Linked DNA regions of Mus musculus: regions 1, 2 and 3 are each reported to be linked to region 4. Evidence: microRNA targets listed by miRTarBase, many of them from high-throughput screens and not tested one by one. Region 4 holds a microRNA gene; each other region holds the end of a gene's coding sequence.
What was found. The annotated mature microRNA mmu-miR-149-5p reads UCUGGCUCCGUGUCUUCACUCCC and lies in region 4 at 2,749-2,771, shown strand. An mRNA with a match to its seed (bases 2 to 7 or 8) in the 3' UTR can be bound and repressed. Matches are read on the target gene's strand: a 7mer-m8 pairs with bases 2 to 8, a 7mer-A1 pairs with bases 2 to 7 and ends in A, and an 8mer does both.

Region 1 (4,461 bases), not on the chromosome of region 4:
TGGGTGGGCTCTGGCCCCCTCCCCCAGTCCTGGCCCTAGTAGAGCTGAAGCCATGTGGTTCCCTGCCCCCAAGTCTTTCAGCCTGAGGGACAGGACGTTGGCTGGGATGTACAGACGTGAATTTCTGCTTTTAATCCAAAGGGACAGAAAGAAAACTCAGCAAGAACTCAAGCTGGGCCACCCCCACCCTACTCCCCCAACCCCTGTGGGTACAAAAGCCCCAGCCTGGCATCCTCCCCACCTTCCAGGTTCCACACAAAAACCTAAACAATTGCAAACATGGCCAGATCCCAGGTCTGTGCCAGTGCCAGCCATGGGGGTCCCACCCGCTGGGCACCGTGCCCACGGGAAGGCCAGCTGGACTCTTGCACTGGGGTCTGGGGGGGATTCCCTCAGAGGGTGGAGAGAATGATTTGGCTTCCTCCATTGGGGTCTGATGCTCAGCACCCTGGCCCCTCTCCCGGGAGCTCACTGTAGAGGTTGGAGATCATGGGGTGGGGGGGCGGGATGAAATGGGAGTTGGGACCTGCCCCAGCTGTTCTCACGGTCGCTTTTTTTTTTTCCTGATCCCATTACAGTCCTGGTTCCTCTGATTAAGATCAACAAAGAAACAACTAAATTTAAAAAAGGAAAAAAAAAAAAGAGGTTCCTCAAAATGGGGGAGAAGAAATTTTGAGACATGGAAATATCCCCCAGCCCAGCCCCACCGAAAAGCAAAACTTAGACGTCGTCAGCCACTCAGCCCTTCCCTCCTCCAGCCCTGGTACCCCCGCGTTCCAAAGCCGCCCAGTTCTGGGAGTCCTCGGAAAGGGGTCTCAGCGGAGCTGTACACCAGCAGCCAAGCAGAAAGAAGCATGCTAAGCGGACTCTGCTAAGCAGAGGACAAACAGAAAGAAAGGATGCAACAAGACTGCCTTCCTCCTACTCAGCCTGGCCTTCCCAGGAAGGAGCAGCCAGCTCACTGGCCGGCCACCCTGGCAGTTCCTGGGGACCCCACCCTCCGCTGGACTTAAGCTTCCCAAGGAGCCCAGAGGAACAGCTCGTAACAATAGTAGACATTCGAGCTCCCCTCCGGACTTCGTCTCTTTCCCTCACCCCACCCCCCACTCCCCAACCTCTCTTGCCCTTCCTGGGAGCCTCTGCTCAGGCTTCTGGCCCCAGCTGCTCTGGACCAGGCTAGGGCGTTCCCGGGTAGGTAAGGGATGCTTCTTAGAGCTAACTGAATTCAGCCTGAGTCCAGAATAGAGGGTGTTCTGCCACCCCATTTTGAACCGCCCGGGCAGTTCTCGGGCTGGACACCCTCTGTACAGCACACAGGAAAGTCAGAATGCTCTGGACTGGACGCCCAGCCCAGCATAGGCACCTTCTTCCACGCCCGCAGGACGCAAGGGCTGCTGCCCTCTGCCACGCCCCTAGTGAAGGGAGTCGGCCCCAGGTCGCCCCGCACCCCAGCCCTGCATGCAGGTGCCCTTGCTCCGCCCCTCTGCCCTGCCCCTGCCCTTGCTGCACACAGCCCTCCAGGGGCCGGCTGAGAGTGGAGCAGAAAGGGCCCCCGGAGCTGAGCGAGGAGGACAAGGCAGCCTCCACCTGCGCTAGGTAGGCGTCCTGCTCTCGAGACTTTGAGTTCCTGTGGAGGGTGGGGGGTGTCATCCTTTTAAAAGAGTGTTCTGGAGCTTTCTGGTCCCCTTCCCTTCCCACCACGCCCCGTGGCCACTTCTCCCTAGATTTTAGCTGTAATGTCTTTCCTCTTTATTTAGGGGTGGGGCAGTCATTGTTTGGGTCTTTCGCTGTTTGCAGTTGGGAACTCCTCTGTTTGAGCAACTTGGGAACAATTTCGTAACACACCACAGGAAGCAGTTCTCCTCCCAGCCCCCTCCTCCAGTAAGGGATGGCGGAGGCTTGTCCAGAGGGTCTTGAGAAGCCCCCTGGGAGGGAGGGGAACGCGAGCACGCCAGACCCCCTGCAGGGTGACTGGGCCCCTCTGGCTTGTCTTTCTGTGCCTTAGTCCTCCTTCCCTGCATCTCCCCTCCCAGGCCCGTTCTCAAGGCCATGCGCCTCTCTCCGGTATGAAAACACAAAGCACAGGTCAGGATCTTCCGAAAGTCGGTCCAACATTGCACCACGTGGGGGTGGGTTGTGGGCTTTATTTATTGAGAATCTAGTTGGTGAGGCTGCGGCCCTGAACAGGAGAATGGCCGCTAGCAGGGAGCTCGGGGCTGCGAGGCGGCTGTCCCTGCGTTCTGTGTGGAAGTTGAGCGAAGCCCTCCCCTGCGGCGTCGAGGGCCAGGCCGGGGTGGACGTCCAGCGGGGGGAGGCCTCCCTGTGCGAGGGGAGGGAGCCCCAGGGTGGGGGGCCGGGCGGGCCGGGCGTGACGCGCGGTCAAAGTGCAATGATTTTTCAGTTCGGTTGGCTAAACAGGGTCAGAGCTAAGAGCTAGCGAAAGAGGGTCCCTGCCCGGCCGCGTGCGCCTCTTCGGTCGGTCGAGGACAGTCGGGCTGTGGGCGCTGTGGGATTGCGGGGCACACGCCCCGGGCGAGGTCAGAAGCTGCAGGCCAGCTGGGCCGGGGCCCAAGGTGCCCGAGAGAGGTACCCTCGGGAGGACTGGGGTGGGGGTGGTGCTCCTTTCCCAAGTGGTGGTGTGAGGGGCAGGCAGGCAGGGACGATGAGGGCGACAGATGTGGGGACGTGTTTAGGAGAGGAAACAACCCACAAAAAAATATAGGGGAAATTAACCTTTTTTTTTTTATTGAACCAAGTGCAATGCATCAGAGAGTTTTCCTATCTTTGTATGTTAAGAGATTAAGAAAAAAAATTCTATTTTTGTTGTAATGTCCTCGCGGCTCTGGGGACGCTAAAAGAACTGGGCCTGCCCTGCCCTTAGCGGGGATGAAAGCTGAGTGTTTTCCTTTTTTTTGTTTTTTTTTTTGTTTGTTTTCCTTTTTGATAGTTTTCTGGGTTTTTGTTTGTTGGTTTGGTTGGTTGGTTTTTTTTTTGTTTTTTTTTTTTTGTTTTGCCTTTTTTCCTGCGTTGACGAGGATAATCTGGGGTTTAAATTTGTTTCGTCGTTCGGTTTCGGTGGGAGGGCTGAAGAAAACGTTTAAAAACACCTCGACATTAAAAAAAAAAAACCAACACAAGATCAAAAGGAAAAGGACGAGAGAAAATTATTTTTAAGATAATTAAACATAAAAACCCTGGTGCTTATTACATTATAAAGTACGTTTTTAAAAACCCACAAACTATTATACATACGTTTATGAATCAATTAAATACTCTGCACTTGTTAGGAACACGCATATCCCTTCTTTGTTGAGTTTAACGGAACGGGACAGCGGCGTGCGCCCCGCGGCTGGGCTGCTCTGGCCGCGGGTCTCCCCAGGCGCTCCCCCCTTCCTCGCCCCCTCCCCCTCCGGGCACTGGGGCGCGGCGGGGGTCCCCGGCCCCCTCCCCCGCAGAGGTCAATGCCAACGAACAAACGTCCCTTTTCCCTCCCTCCCCACTCCGAGCGCCCTTCTTTGAGCCAGACGCCAACTTGACCCTCACCAGCATTAATCAGGAGCGCGCTCAGCAAGTTGGTAGTTTCCTCCCCGACCCCTTCCCACGTAACACCACTATTCCCCCTCCCTCCGGGAGGTTCGATGCTCCAGGACAGGTCCAGCCACGCTGACAGGTCGATTTGCCCAGGCCCGCGCCCGCACGCACGCACGCACATAGCCCGGCACACACCCCCACCCTACCCCGCAACCAGCCCTGTCGACTGCCTTACACACCCGCCCCCGCGCTGGCCGGCCGACCTAGTGCCTTGTTCTCACCCCCGTGCTGGCGGAGCGGACGCCGCGCTCTGGGTCCCAGAGGGGCCGGGTGGCTCAGACGACCCACCGTTTCCCCCAACCCGACCGTACTGAACGGACCCCCCACGAGAGAAAAAAAAAAGGAGCAATAAAGTTATGAGAACTTTGTCCCCCAATCGAGAGCCCTAGGGGCACCCCAGCCCCACCTCTGCTCCCTCCCACCCCATCCACCCTCGGGGCGTCCCACTCTGCGCAAGCCAGCTGGGGCCAACCCCTGCTTTGGCCCCTCTTGGGAGATCCGTGCGCCCCATCAGCACCAGCATCGCGGACCGCAAAGGCCGCCCGTCCCGTCAAACAAGTTTCTTCTTAGGCTAAGAAACGCAGTATATACGAGTATCTCTATATATATATAGTACTAATGGATTTGGTGTGCTTCCCCCTTAGCGTCCCTTCCCTCTGCTCCTCTTTCAGCCTGGTCTCCCTTCTCTGCCCTCCAATTCCCCTCCCCCGTCTCTGCACTGAGATACATAAGAAACAAGGGTAGTTTACTGTCTGTTTTGTTTTCTGGGTTTTCAGTGTCCTAGCGGAATGCAAGTAGGCAGCCAGCCCGTCTGTCCCCTCTCCGCCCGCCCCGCCCCGCCCCACCCCAGTCACTGCGCTTCTGTTATAC
Region 2 (4,461 bases), not on the chromosome of region 4:
CTCAGCTATATCTTGGAGGGCGGGGTGTGTGTGTACCAATCCTGGCTGTAGGAACCAAGAAGCTAGAGCTAGGCCTTCTGGGAGGGATGGGGGACTTGGATGTCAGTCCTTTATAGCAATCTCACATGCACAGGTAGTTTCTGGAATAGCAATCTGCTTGGGCCAGACTTGTCTCTACAGTATTAGGTTATGGTTATTGCTTCTATGACAGAAGGGGTCCGGAAGCCCTGGTGGCTTTGGAGTCTGAGAAACAACTGGATTGCTGTGTGTGGGGGGGACATACACCTGTAGGTATGGACACCCCAGGAGTGGACTGTCCCAGGATGGCACAGCCCATGGAAGCATTTGGAAGCATTCTGGGGCTGTGTTCTATTCTATGGTGTCAGGCACGGGAGGCATGCTAGGGGCGGGAAGGGAACACAACAGGGTCATTTCCCAAGGGCCACGGCATTACAAGAGGGGCTGAAGTGGGTACCAGGCTTTTCCTCATTTTTGGTACAAGTGATCAAGCACCTGTAACTGGTGCACTATTTACAGAGCATCTTAAAATAAATAATTTGGAGAGAATCCTACCTAAATGGCTCTAACATTTGTACATGAATATTGTACAAGATTAAAAATAAATAAGGCAATATAATACATTTTTATCACAAGTAAAAAGAAGGTTGTTTATCACCAAACCCCAAGGTACATTATGGCTGCACGTGTGGTTCCTGACCTCACAGGAAGTAGGCGGGTTTGGAATTGCTGATGATGGAGATGTCGCCCCTGAAGAAGAGACCCAGCCAAGGCTCCTGTGTGGTCTGCTTCAGAACAGTCCTGTGCCCAGAGAAGGCAGTGTCATCCTAAAGGTTGCTTTCTCTCACTCTGACCACACCTTGGGTGGCTCTGCCCATGCACCCATGTGGCCTCGGTTTGACACACGCATGCGTGATTGCAGTGTTATCGACCTAGGCTGGCTCTGCTCAGCGTCATATAGGTCAGATCCAGGGGCCACTGGCTGGCCTCCTCCCTCATGGCTCTGATGGTCTGCCTGCTGTATACTCAGGCTTTGGCCAGTTTCAGCTCCTTGTGGTTATGGGCGTGCGTGACATCCTGGCTTCTTTGCTGGCTGGAGCTGTGCTGTCCTCCTAAGTCTCTTCAATGTATTTCATGTCCTCATCTTCAGGTCAGCAACAGAGACTCAGTCCTGGGCATCTTTCTGTCCACTTCTGAGGGGCCCTGTGTCCACACTAAACCCATTGGTGTAGACTTTCTCAATCCTTTCTCAATCCTTCAGGCCTACCTACCCTAAGTCCCCTTGTCAAGGTCCTCCACTGTGGCAAAGGACACACAGGACCTGGGGCTGTCATGTGGGCATCTTTGAGAACCACTCTTCTGTCCCTCATCTGATCAGCCAGAGAGGCACTAGTTCTGGGTGCCTAGAAGCCACTCTGAGGAACTCCAGGCTGTGTGAGAGGTTCTCTACCCTCCTCAGTGGCCTGGAAGGCCAGGGACAGTGCCACAGCCCTCAGCCAAAGTCACCATATACTCACTTGCTCTGGGTGCTCCTGGCTGAGCTGACTGCAAGACAGACAGACGAGGTGAGAAATTCCTAGTGCAAAAGAGCCCCATGAGGAAAAGCCATTTGTCCCAAGGATAGGAACACCTGGGGACGGGCAGGAGGCAGGAGCCACAAAGAAAGAGTGCTCGCATGCCTACCTAGGTTCTGGCTCAGAGGAATCTGCCCCTTCTCAGAGCGCCCCAACAACCTGAATCTTTCTTATAAGTGCAATCTTAAGATGGTCTTCAGGGCCATGGGAGAAACCAAAAGCCTGTCCTGCTGCCCTCAACTCTCTGGGAGCCAGCATTCTCCCCCAACACTGTTACAACAAAATACCACGCCTCAGGAACCAGACATGACCACCGGAGGACGATGAAGCTACCTGCTCTCCAACCCTGAAGGCTGCAGTGGAGTGCTGAAGTCAGTCTGGCCCTGGCTCTGGGTTCTAGCCACAGTGGGCTGACAGAAAGGCAGCCGACAATGCCCAGGCCGTGCTACCTGATATCATCAGAAAGGCAACAAAGCAGGGTGGGCATGGGTCAGAGTTCCTCTGCAGAAGGTGCTAGATGATACCCTTACCACCACCCACAAGCTCCATCCCTGGCCACAGAGAATGTGCAATCTTCACAGCTGCCCCACCCGGCCCTAGGGCACCTGAGGTGCAGCCTCAAAGACTTGGAGACTTGGCATGCAGCCTCCAGCTCTCCCTTGCTGAAAGTTTTCTTCCTACCCACAGGTAACCTGAGTCTAGACTCAGCTGAGTGTCCCAGGAACGGGCGCTGGCTGACCTGGAAAATTACCCAGGCACCAACAAAGCCACACACTTGAACCAGAGCTGAATCCAGAACACCACATATGCACCCTGCCGGGGAAAACTAGGCTTTGCTCTGCCCTATTCTAAGAAGATAGGACCCTTGGAAGGGGGCAAGCTCTTGGGGAGCCGTGAGGAAATGGGCCTCCACAGACAAGATCAGGCAGGGCTTATGCCCACCTGCCCTGCTTCAAGCTGCCTCCCTTCCTGTATTGAAACTGAGTATCTTCAAAAGCCAGGCTTCATCCCGCTATTTCCAGCCAGTTGCTTCCTACCAACTCCTCCAGAATCCTGTACCCTAACGGGATTTCCTCACAGTTGCAGTTACTGGGACACACAGGTGGGAGGTCCCAGGTGTCAGTCAACAGGGCCACTCTTTCCCATCACCCTGGAGCAGGGACACCACACCTAGACTCAGGAATGCACACTGTGCCGACTCTGAAACCACCAAGAGGAGAGCTGGTTAGGCCAAGGAGAGGATGTCTTCCAGCAAGGAGAGCACTCGTGGGTATAGTGGGTCAATCGCTCTTAGCATAAACGAAGGCTTGATTCTTGTTAGACTTACAGCGTCCAAGACACCACAGAGAAGACAGCACACACCCCTCCTCTCTGAATGTGCAGCCATGGCACAGGAAGAGGAGGGCCCACTGTCGCAGCAGTCAGAAGCCAGCAGCCAGGAGGGGTTGGAAGAGAATGTACGGGCCAGGAGATCAGAAGTGGGGCTGTAGGGCCTCCCGAGAATTCCAGAAGACCTGCCTCTGGCTGTTAGCAAGAGCCTACTCTTGGGGAAAGCCAGCAACCCCGCTCTTCATGCAGTAAGAGGTGTCTTTTCAATTCTTCCCATACTGCCCTGACCAAGACCTGACCAGCTCTTTGCTGTGCCCATGGTATGAACAGCTCAACTGTCATGGCCCTGCCCAGCGGGGCCAACTTCCCAGTCTGGCACTCATACTTGAAACTGCTACCCAGGCTTGGAGTTACCCATAAGCCAGGACCTACCAGGGCTAGAGCCATCCATAAGCCAGGGCTTACCAGGGCTGGAGCCACCCATAAGCCAGGACCTACCAGGGCTAGAGCCACCCATAAGCCAGGGCTTACCAGGGCTGGAGCCACCCATAAGCCAGTTGACTTGGGGCTCAGTCATGGTGGGCTCCTCTGCCAGCTTGACCTCCATAGCTTTTGCTGTGACCATGGAAGATACTCCCAAGGTCCCGCCACCTATGGCAACACTAGCCAGGCATAACCAGGTCATTAGGAAGAGACAGAGCTCAGTGTGCCCCAAGGGGTGGCTTGGGCACATTTCCCATTGGCCTCAGGCCACACTCAGACAATGCTTCTCCTCCAGCCCAGCCACTTGGCTCCTCTGTCTGGTCCTGGCTAGAGCCATGGTGGCTTGTGACACCCTGGAGCATTCTTGCCTTGCATGCATCTCCAGTGGCCCATGGGCTCCACTAGGCTTCCTTCCCTGCTGCTGTGGATGACAGGTACTGGCTAGTGGGGGCTGGAGGGAGCCCTGGTCTGACTGGGGGTCCAGCCGCGGGACACAGTGGGGGCCGTCTGGCCTGGCCTCCGCCTCTCCCATAAGGACACATCCTTCGTTCCAAGCGAAAGGTCCTGCCGTGGGAACTGTTTCCATCAGTCCTGCCTTCTAGAAAGTACGTTAGCATCTCTCCCTTGCCCTTCACGCTGACTTTGCCTCTGCACACAAACTGGTATGAGCACCTCTTCAGCAGCCGGTGGACTTCCTCAGTCACCTACCAGGGGAAAGAAGTCAGCATTACTCTTAGTCATGGATAATGAGGGGGTCTTCTGGAGGGTAGGAGCTCCCCAGTGACCTTTGACCCTGCACCTCACTTTCCACCACAGCTGCCTAATCCTGGTGATATTTGGACAACGCTACTTCATATATGGGCAAGTGGGGACAGCTGGGGCTAGAGACCCAGCACAGCTTGGGTGAGCCATTGTGACTGCTTAGTGCACCCAGTTAGGGGCTGTGTGGGACTAGCCCCAATGTTAAAGGTAGATGGACAGGCTCTCTGGATCAGGGATATAGATACCTCAGCAAGGTAGTCTGGTGCTGGGAATGGCACCCTTAGTTTCTGGGAAT
Region 3 (4,461 bases), not on the chromosome of region 4:
TTGCAGAAGACTGTCTTAATTAACAACATGTTGAGGCGGATCCAGGAGGAACTCAAGCAGGAAGGCAGCCTGAGGCCTGCATTCACCCCCTCTTCCCAGCCGAGCAACTCACTGAGCGACAGCTACCAGGAGGCCCCGCCTCCTGCTCCTCACCCCTGTGACCTCGGAAGCACTACACCCTTGGAGGCCTGCCTCACCCCTGCCTCCCTGCTCGAGGACGACAACGATGACACTTTTTGCACTTTGCAGGCTGTGCACCCTGCAGCTCCCACTAGACTCTCTTCTGCAGCCCTCCCAGCAGAGAAGGACAGCTTCTCCTCCGCCTTGGATGAGATCGAGGAGCTCTGTCCCACATCTACCTCCACAGAGGCTGCCCACACAGCAGCCCCTGAGGGCCCGAAAGGAACCTCCAGTGAGTCCAGTGTCCAGAAACCTGAGGGGCCCGAGGAAGGCCGCACAGATGACTCACGATTCATGGACTCTCTGCCTGGGAATTTTGAAATAACAACGTCCACGGGTTTCCTGACAGACTTGACCCTGGATGACATCTTGTTTGCTGACATTGATACATCCATGTACGATTTTGACCCCTGCACATCTGCATCGGGGACAGCCTCAAAGATGGCCCCTGTGTCAGCTGATGACCTCCTCAAGACCCTGGCTCCTTACAGCAATCAGCCTGTTGCCCCAAGTCAGCCTTTCAAAATGGATCTCACGGAGCTGGACCACATCATGGAGGTGCTTGTTGGCTCCTGAGACCTGGGCCCACGTGACTGCGCCCAGCCAGGCTCTGCACCCTTGCAGCCCCGACAGTTTCTCCGCACTGTGCATGGACCCTTGCTTGCCTTTTTCAGAGAAAAAGAAAATTTTACAAAAGGATCACACTAGTATTTTCTTCAAGCAGAGTTGGAGTGCCTTCATTCGAGTATGCCCACTTGTAACACACTCTTCTGAGTGGGTTCCTCAGAGCCCTGCTGCCCTGGCGTAGGAGAGAAGACATTTGAAGACTGTGTTGCTAATGTTGAAAGGTGAACAGGAACAGTTCAAGTGAAGCACAAGGATTAAGTTGGAAAAGCTGTAAATTGCATGTGCATATTTGTCTATTTTTTCTATAAGTTTTATTGCAAGAGGTAAAAAAAAAAAAGAATATATATCTATATTATTTGGATAATCTCAGTACCTTTTCTGGCGTTTTGCCCTGTGTAAGTTGACTTGGCAATTCAGCCTTTTTAGAGGCATTAACTACTCGTAAGTGTTGCATTTACATGGCTGTTTAGAAAACTGCTGCCCAAATTTATTTTATATTTTTGTACAGATTCTGCAGTTTATGATATTGTTTTTCTAAACACAAATGCTGTTTATACCTATGAAATAGCTATTTTGATAGGATTTGCTCACATAGTTCCTGCAAACATGAGATGTACAAGTTGCACTTGTACTTTTATAGGACTTGTAATGTTTTATATGTGTGTGGTGCAAGAGAGAACTGGATCACGTCAGTCTGCAGTTGATGTCCCCACTGCAAATACACACAGCGCTTTCATAAAGGGCCAGGTGATCTGACACCCAAATTTCACAAGCACCAGCCCCTGGCACGGTCACCCGCCAGCACTGTGACTTCCAAAGCCAGAGCCCTGTCTGCTCATCAAACATGCATTAAGCAGTTGGCGGGGAGATGGCTGTGTTTCTTGGGGTAGGGAGGGCGGAGTTGATGTGGCAGGCTCCTTAGCTCCCTCTTTTGAACAGAGGCTGCATCATCTTATTTAAGAGTGGACTCAGCAGGGTGTGGTGGCACACCCCTGTAATTCCAGCATTTGGGAGGCAGGGGCAGGCAGATTTTTGTGAGTTCCAGTCCAGCCAGAACTATACAGTGAGAAAACCCTGTCTCAAGGTGGGGGTGGGGAGGGAGGGGGAACAGGGGGATAAAAAACAAAACAAAACTGTATTTATGCCAAGTTGCTATTTTAATTGTTTTTATTTTAAATTTTTGAAATGAAAACCCCAGTCTTTGTCTTTTGGCATAGCTTTTATGACGAGACCACAATTTTACACAACAAAATTTTACAACAAGCAACTGACCTTTTGCTGGAGGTGAGCCCCACTTCAGTACTTAGTTCCCCAGAAGGCATCCATCGTGTTGCTGAGCTGCCTCTCCCATGTCCTTTCCCTGGAGCTTTTGTTCCCTCTGTTGCTAAGAGCTGCAAATGGCATCTTTCTGATCAGCACAGTGAGCTAGCTCTGCGCACCTCCGCCAGCCGGGACGCGCTCGCTCGCTCTCCTGACATCTGTGACTAGAGCCGCAGTCCACCGCCTTATGTCATGGTGTCCAATCTGGTTGCTTTCCTTAATTAACTGCTAATTTAACTACACTTTACAAAGCTGTTATTCCCAAATACATAGAGAGGAATTTCTATGCACGTCTCTGGCCTTCCCCTACCCCCATGTGCTAGCCCCTCCAGCGGCTCTTTCTTTAGTGATCCCCCCAACACGTGCACTCATGAGATGCAGTCGTTTGTTTTAGTGTATCAGGCCTGTTGCTGAAACCGCCTTTCTGTTTCATGGCTCGCTCTTGCAGTGTGGTATTTGAGCTGTTGAGTGCAGGTTACAACCTATATGGCTTCTTTAGAAATAACTTTTATATTTATTTAAAAAAACTTAAATTATGGGATTTTGTTTTTGTTTTTGGTTGTCTTTGTTGGTCATTTGTCAATATACAGTCACCAACCAACTCTGCTCACTTCTTGCCATGGATAAAATGGGCCTTTCTGGCCAATTAAAAAGATAAATTTTATAAATGGCACTTTAAAACAAGCCATAAATAGATTTATTTTTATAATGCACATGGCAAGCAAATGCATTTGTGATGAAGGAACTGCTCATCCAAGCAGAAGATTTGTGGATGGTGCGATTAATATCTTTTTACCTTTTCTTCACTGGAATGTGTCTGACAGGCTGACTGTCAGCTCTGGAGCAGCGGGAGGCTGATCCAGCTGTGCTCCTACAGGCACCTCCAGCCTTTCACCAGCCCCTTCACGCGTGTGTCTCCTTTCTTGTAGGGCAGGGACCACACGTAGGGGAGGTTGTCATGCACACTTGCAAGTGTCTCTGTGCCTGTCCATCTTAAGAACTTGTCTGTCTTGTAGAGAGCAGGTCTGCCCGTACTCTGTGTGTTTTAGAACTGGAGGATCCTGTGAACTGGCCACATGCCACACACATCTGCATACATGTGCATATACAGTAGTGTTGATGATTCCCAGCAAAAATGGCACAAAGCAGTTGATTGCCATTGTCAAAAACTGATTTACAGTAACTTAGAACAACTGTACTTTTGTTGGATTAGCAAATCATGTGTTTAAACAATCCCATATGTTGGGCAACAGTTCAAATAAGCACAGAGAAGCATTGCCCAAACTTGGTTCTCAAACTCTAGTGCATTTGTAAGGCTGGGCTTCAAAATCAAAACACCCACCCCCAACACCGGCAGGCAGAGTGCTAATTCCTGAAACATCCATGGGAAGCCAATGGCCCTGTTTTCAGGAAGAGCAAGCCCACCAAGAGTTAAGACTGTCTTTGTGTCCTATTTATACTAAGCCATGTCCCAACAGGGAAGAGTTTGGAACCAGAGTGAGAGCTCCCAGTCCCAGTTTGAGTGGGGGAATGTGCTTCTAGACGCTTCCTGGCAGTAGTGGCTCACCTTCACAAAGACAGTCTTGTGGCATCCGAGCCAGGCAGACAGCCTGGGGTGCCTGGGCCTGACAAGCTTGTTGACAATGACGTGCAATGACGTGACAAGGTGAGAGCAGAATCCTGAGAGACTTAAAGGGATGGTTTTCCCCATAAGTTATTTATTCTTTTTTTTTTTCTGTGTAAATATATTTATTTTATTGTGGCACTCTAATAACATCCTGGTGGTATGGTGCAGAATGTATGGTAGGAATGTATTTCTTGTAGGGATGTAGATCTGTGTGTATTAAAAGGGGGAGCCAAGCCAGCCCCCACCTGTCTCTTCATCAGATACAGTCCACATTCATTTTTAACTCTCATCTCCAATATGGGTCTATTTAAAATATGCAAAAAGGTATGGATGAGGAATGTTTTAATACCTCCAAATTTTTAAAAAAATCAAGCATAAAAGAGTTGATAATTTTTTAAAGTTTTCTTAGTAGCACTTTCTCTTGATGACAGAAGGGCAACACATAGGCACCCACCTTCATACCAAAGGGTGAGAAATGGCCACAGCCTCCTACACCACTCCAGTGTCTTTAGCAATTGAGCTTTCTATCGCCATAGCCCCAACCATCCTGAGGTCAATCAAGGAAAATTTCTTTACGACGTAAGCTCCAAAGAGCCAAAGTATCAACTCACGGATCATTTTTAAAGCCTAAATTTCTTACCACCTTTGCAGTAAACAATGAATTATGAACACTGCAAGGGCAGCCTTCTTAAATGACAGACACAAAG
Region 4 (4,461 bases):
CACCAGATACACCCCCCCCCCCACCTCTGGGCTGGGGCTAGCCCAGAGGCAGAGATTTGATCCACAAGTCCTTTGAAATGCCAGCACGGTGGGGGGGGGGGGGGGTCCGCAGCTGCCTACTGTTTCCAGGGACACGGGGGGTGGGGGGGGGCGGTGCTGAATGTGCCAGTGAAGGTTGCGGGAGGAGGTGCGTCCCAGGAAGCTGCCTTCAGCCTTGTGCATCAGTGAGACTGCCACTGCCCTGCTGCCCTAGGTTGTGGGATCCACCACACCACGCCGAGACCCCTAGCCTCATCTTGGCCTTTCCTGCTGAGTTCTGCTGCTCTGCAATTGCCAGACCACTTCACTGGCGCTGGAATCGCCCTTGCTATCCGGAGTGCATCCACAGCTGGGGACACTATTGGAGCGGCCATGGAGAAGGGGGTTCTAAGGCCAGGAGGGTGTCCGCTAAGCTACCAGGCTACGTCTGCTAGGCACCATCTCTATCACCATTCCTGTCTGCATCCCCCCTCCTCCATGCATTCACCTCTCATCTTCAGTTCCATTCTCTCGCAGCTGTACCCCCACTACAGCCTATCTCTGTCTCATCCCCTTCCCATCAAGAGCTTGGTCATCAGCCCTGATGTCCACTCATGTCTCTCAGCTCCCACCTCCATCCCATCCCCATCTCCCTAAAGTTGTGCTGCACCATCCTAGATATTCCTCTCTACCCCATCCCTCCCCCTGCACCCCTCAGGCTGCCGCAGCCCCCTTTCCGCAGTAAGTCCCCCTTCCTCTACTGAACCCATCCCCCCTTTCACCCCGCCCCCGCCGCCACAGCCATGGCGCTCGCTTTTCTCCCTCCTTTTTCTGCCGCCGCGCCCACTGCGGCAAGCCCCTTCCCCGCCAATCACATCGCCCTCTCTCCTCTCCCTCCATCTCCCGCTTTCCGCAGCCCCCCTCCAAATGCCCCCCTCTGCCTGCCGCAGCACTCAGCTCTCCGCACCAGCCGCGCCCACTGCACCAGCGCCCCCTCCTCACTGCGGCGCCAGAGCAGGCGCCTGCATCTGCAGCTCCGGCTTATCTTACCGGCTCCAGCTGTACAGAACCATCCCCGTTGCAGAGGAGGCAGCGGTCGGTCGGAGCTGCAGGTGTCGCCCAGGCTTTGTTCGCCCAGGGCCTGGCCTGATGCTGGAGAGGCAGCTGGCAGGAGCCCTTGCCTGCCCGGAGATGACCCCTCCCATCGAGTCCATAGAAGTGCCAGCAGCCGATGCCCCCCAGTTAGGGGGTCCCTGTTCGTGATGGAGGTTCTTCTTGGTGATGTTGCCATTTGGGTGAACCGGAGGCAGGGGCTCGGGAATCATGAAGGCATCCAGGAGGGTGGAAAAGTATTGGGAGTGAGGTGGGGGCGGGGAGGGGATTGTGCTTGATGCTTTTCCAATTTCAGAGATGGAGTTGAAATGTCTTCCTTCGGGTGTGACCCCCGGGGACTAGACAGGTTTGTTGGGGAACAGGAGCAAGCAATGGGAAAATGCCCCTGGAGCCTGGGCAGTGAGTAGTCCCCCAGAAAGCTGGGCCATTTGCTCCAGGCTGTCACGTCCTGGAGACTCTCAGCCTCTGGGGCTGGAAAACCCAGGAGCACAGAGGGCTGGTTTACTTCTAACCTACCAGTCAACAGAAAGGCCTGCTCTAGGAGCCAGCAGCTGGGGAGGGGAGTGTAGCCTGTGCCTCTCCCTTATCTGCGGTGCTGAGAGATTATACTCCGAATGCCCCTACACTCCCCCAAGCCGTGCCAGCTGGAGTGTTTTAGGGGCCGTGAGGGAAGTGGGCTTTCCACTCTGCATCTCCCCCGTGAGCACAGGAAGCTTCTAGAAGAATGGACCAGAGGCGGGGTAGCATGACTCTGCATTATCTTCAGAAGGTGGAGGGTTTCAAGGCATTGGGTCCCTGAAGTGTCAGGGGAGGTCAGGTCAGAGATGTCTGTGGGTAGCATCAGGATGCTGGACTCTGCTAAAGTCCTGGGGTGACTGTGGATGATGACCAAGAGGGATGCTGCCTCTGTGAGGGAGGAGCAGGAGCTGGAGCTGTCAGCAGGTGGCAGGAGGGTGTGACCCTGAAAGGTAGGAAGCCACAAGCTGCTGTCTGCTCTGGAGAATAGTGGGGGGCCGGGGGTGGGGTGCAAGCAGCCAGATTTGGGAGGAGGTAAATGAGCAGTTGCTGCCCATGGGTTTGCTGCAATGGGGTGCCATGCTAAGTGTCACAAGAAGCAGGGGTCTTGGAATTTGAGAGGCTTTGGGGTTGGGGACAAGGCTTAGAAAAGGGACTAAAGTGGGGAAAACCTGCCATTAACAAACAACCCCCTTCCCCAAATAAAACCTGTGAGTGCCAGGGGAGGGTAGTGCCCCCCAAAAACCCAGGAGGGAAAGATCTGGAAAAATGAAACCAACTCTGAGAGAGATGGGCGGGGTCAGTGGGGAACAATACTGCCGCTCCACTCCCACCCACCTTCAGGGCTGGCAAGGAGGAAGCTGCTGGTAGGGTAGAACGGAGAGACGTTCCTACGATGGGTATGTACTCCAGTGCTTTCCTGGAAGTGTAGAGAGCTTTGCAGAGCCTGCCTTAGCTGTTCTGATGTTGAGCACCTATGGTTCCAGTTGGGCTGGGTCTCAGCTCCTCTATCTTTGACCCTCAGCAAGCAGGTCTGCCAATGCATGGGCTTCTGGGCAGCCTGACCCAGCCTGCCCGGGGCCCTCAGGCCAGTGCCCAGGCTCTGGCTCCGTGTCTTCACTCCCGTGTTTGTCCGAGGAGGGAGGGAGGGACGGGGGCGGTGCTGGGGCAACTGGAACAGCGCAGGTCACCGGGCTGGCTGGGTGAGGTGGCCAGGCAGAGCCAGGGGGCTGCAGGGGAGGCCATTGGATGGGGTATGCTCATAGTAGCTGGCCAAAAGTCTCATGGGTCCCATTTATCCAGAACCTGCCGTGGAGTGGGGCGAGTTTCTGTTTCTGAGTGTGTGTCCTTAATTAACTTCTTCCTGTTTCAGCTTCGTTCTTCTGTCTATGTGGTGAGGGGTGGCAATTGGGACCACTAAGATGGAGAAGGATGTCAGAGGAGCAGAAACCATGGGAGGGGCCAGTAAGGCTGTGCCCACCTCTCTCTTGCCAGTGCTCTGTTGTGCAGCCTGGTCCTCAATATTTCCACCTAAAACCTTTGGCCTACACACACAGAGTGCCTCTGTCCCAGCTGAGCCCAGGATGGCCCCATCCTGATACCTGCAGCCTCCATCCCCATAGCTGTTTCCCCACTCACTGCTGAAGTCAGAGATGGGTCATCCTCTACAGTGCCCCCCATGATTCCTCCTCTAACAGAAAAACCCTTAAACCCCACCACTCAAAGAGAGAGATGTGGCATATCACCTCAGCCCAGCAGACCATGGCCCGGAGCAGAGCAAATAGAAGGCCCTGCTGGGCCCTGTACCTTGTTGTGCCTGTAGCCTGCTTGCGGGTGGATAATCTCTGCTTAGCCCTCCCTACTCTAGAAGGAAGGGAATCAATCAATGGATGCAGATCAAGTGGCAGGACCTAGGCTTGCAGCTCCCAGCTGTCTGGGCACCAACCCAGCCCTTTCTTGAGGTTGGGTGCTTAATAACATGTTGCTTCCCAGGACCTGCAGTCCCTGTGAAAGGCAGGTGCCCTGGGCAGGAGGAAGCAGTGTGGTAGGAGCAGAGGGTACCAGGTAGGGGAGTGGTGGGAGGGGCATTCCGTGTGCACCTCCCATCTCTGACTCCCTTTTCTCTTGACTCCCCCAAGCACCCTTGAATCAGAATACAATTCCTTCTGTTCTTCTACCAGCTGTCAGCCACTGCCCTGCTCTGTGGACCTTTGGGGACCCTGAAACCAGGTGGGACTCAGCCTGTGAGGCCAAAAGTCCCCAGGGTTCTGGGATGAAGCACAGCTCCCATGCCTTAGTAAGCAGGAGAAGGGCTAGGCCAGGCCCTCAACCTGAGACCTGGAAGAGCAGATCTGAAGGTTGCCCTACCTAGGGATGGAGGGGTGGCATCTGGGGATATATACCTTCCATGTCAGGTCAAAATCACAGAGGCTGTACACAGTTCCACTCTGCAATATGCACACACACACACACACACACACACACACACACACACACACCATCCAGCACACATAAATGCTTGTGCTTACTAAGTGCTAAAGACAAGGATGTGATCATGTAACAAGCTCTTAAGGGTGAATGCAACCTCAGAATCTCTCCTTAGTCAGAGATCTCCACTCCCAGTTGGCTTCAGGGGAGGGGGGTTCATAGAAATGGGGCCTAACACATAATGGCCTCATCCTGAGGTCACAGGTTCCTGCCCCCACATGCTTCTTGACAAGATGTCCACTCCCCTCTGGCTCAGTCCCCCACCTCTGATGGCAGCCTGCAGTATCACATCCTGGAGTTCTTCACATCCCACCTTTCCCATCAACC

Region 1: miRTarBase lists Nfix as a target of mmu-miR-149-5p. Seed matches in the 3' UTR shown: 8mer at 3,518-3,525.
Region 2: miRTarBase lists Adcy1 as a target of mmu-miR-149-5p. Seed matches in the 3' UTR shown: 7mer-A1 at 3,112-3,118, 7mer-m8 at 1,976-1,982, 8mer at 1,708-1,715 and 7mer-m8 at 956-962.
Region 3: miRTarBase lists Sertad2 as a target of mmu-miR-149-5p. Seed matches in the 3' UTR shown: 7mer-A1 at 1,625-1,631, 7mer-A1 at 1,856-1,862 and 7mer-m8 at 3,722-3,728.

The regions. Positions count from the first base shown.
Region 1 is chr8:84,704,795-84,709,255 of GRCm38, reverse strand. It overlaps Nfix (nuclear factor I/X), which reads left to right. Exons shown (of 11, transcript NM_001371053.1): 11 at 579-4,461. The coding sequence ends at 593. Among named protein-coding and RNA genes, the nearest start is that of Lyl1, 5.6 kb to the right of the region's middle.
Region 2 is chr11:7,169,060-7,173,520 of GRCm38, reverse strand. It overlaps Adcy1 (adenylate cyclase 1), which reads right to left. Exons shown (of 20, transcript NM_009622.2): 20 at 1-4,108. The coding sequence ends at 3,806. Among named protein-coding and RNA genes, the nearest start is that of Ccdc201, 17 kb to the left of the region's middle.
Region 3 is chr11:20,647,980-20,652,440 of GRCm38, forward strand. Sertad2 (SERTA domain containing 2) reads left to right here. Exons shown (of 2, transcript NM_001038625.1): 2 at 1-4,461. The coding sequence ends at 756. Among named protein-coding and RNA genes, the nearest start is that of Sertad2, 18 kb to the left of the region's middle.
Region 4 is chr1:92,847,633-92,852,093 of GRCm38, forward strand. It overlaps Mir149 (microRNA 149), which reads left to right and starts at 2,746; the gene lies at 2,746-2,811. All of the region lies in intron 1 of Gpc1 (glypican 1), which reads left to right. Gm29480 (predicted gene 29480) reads right to left here and starts at 1,165. Exons shown (of 4, transcript NR_166170.1): 1 at 1,069-1,165.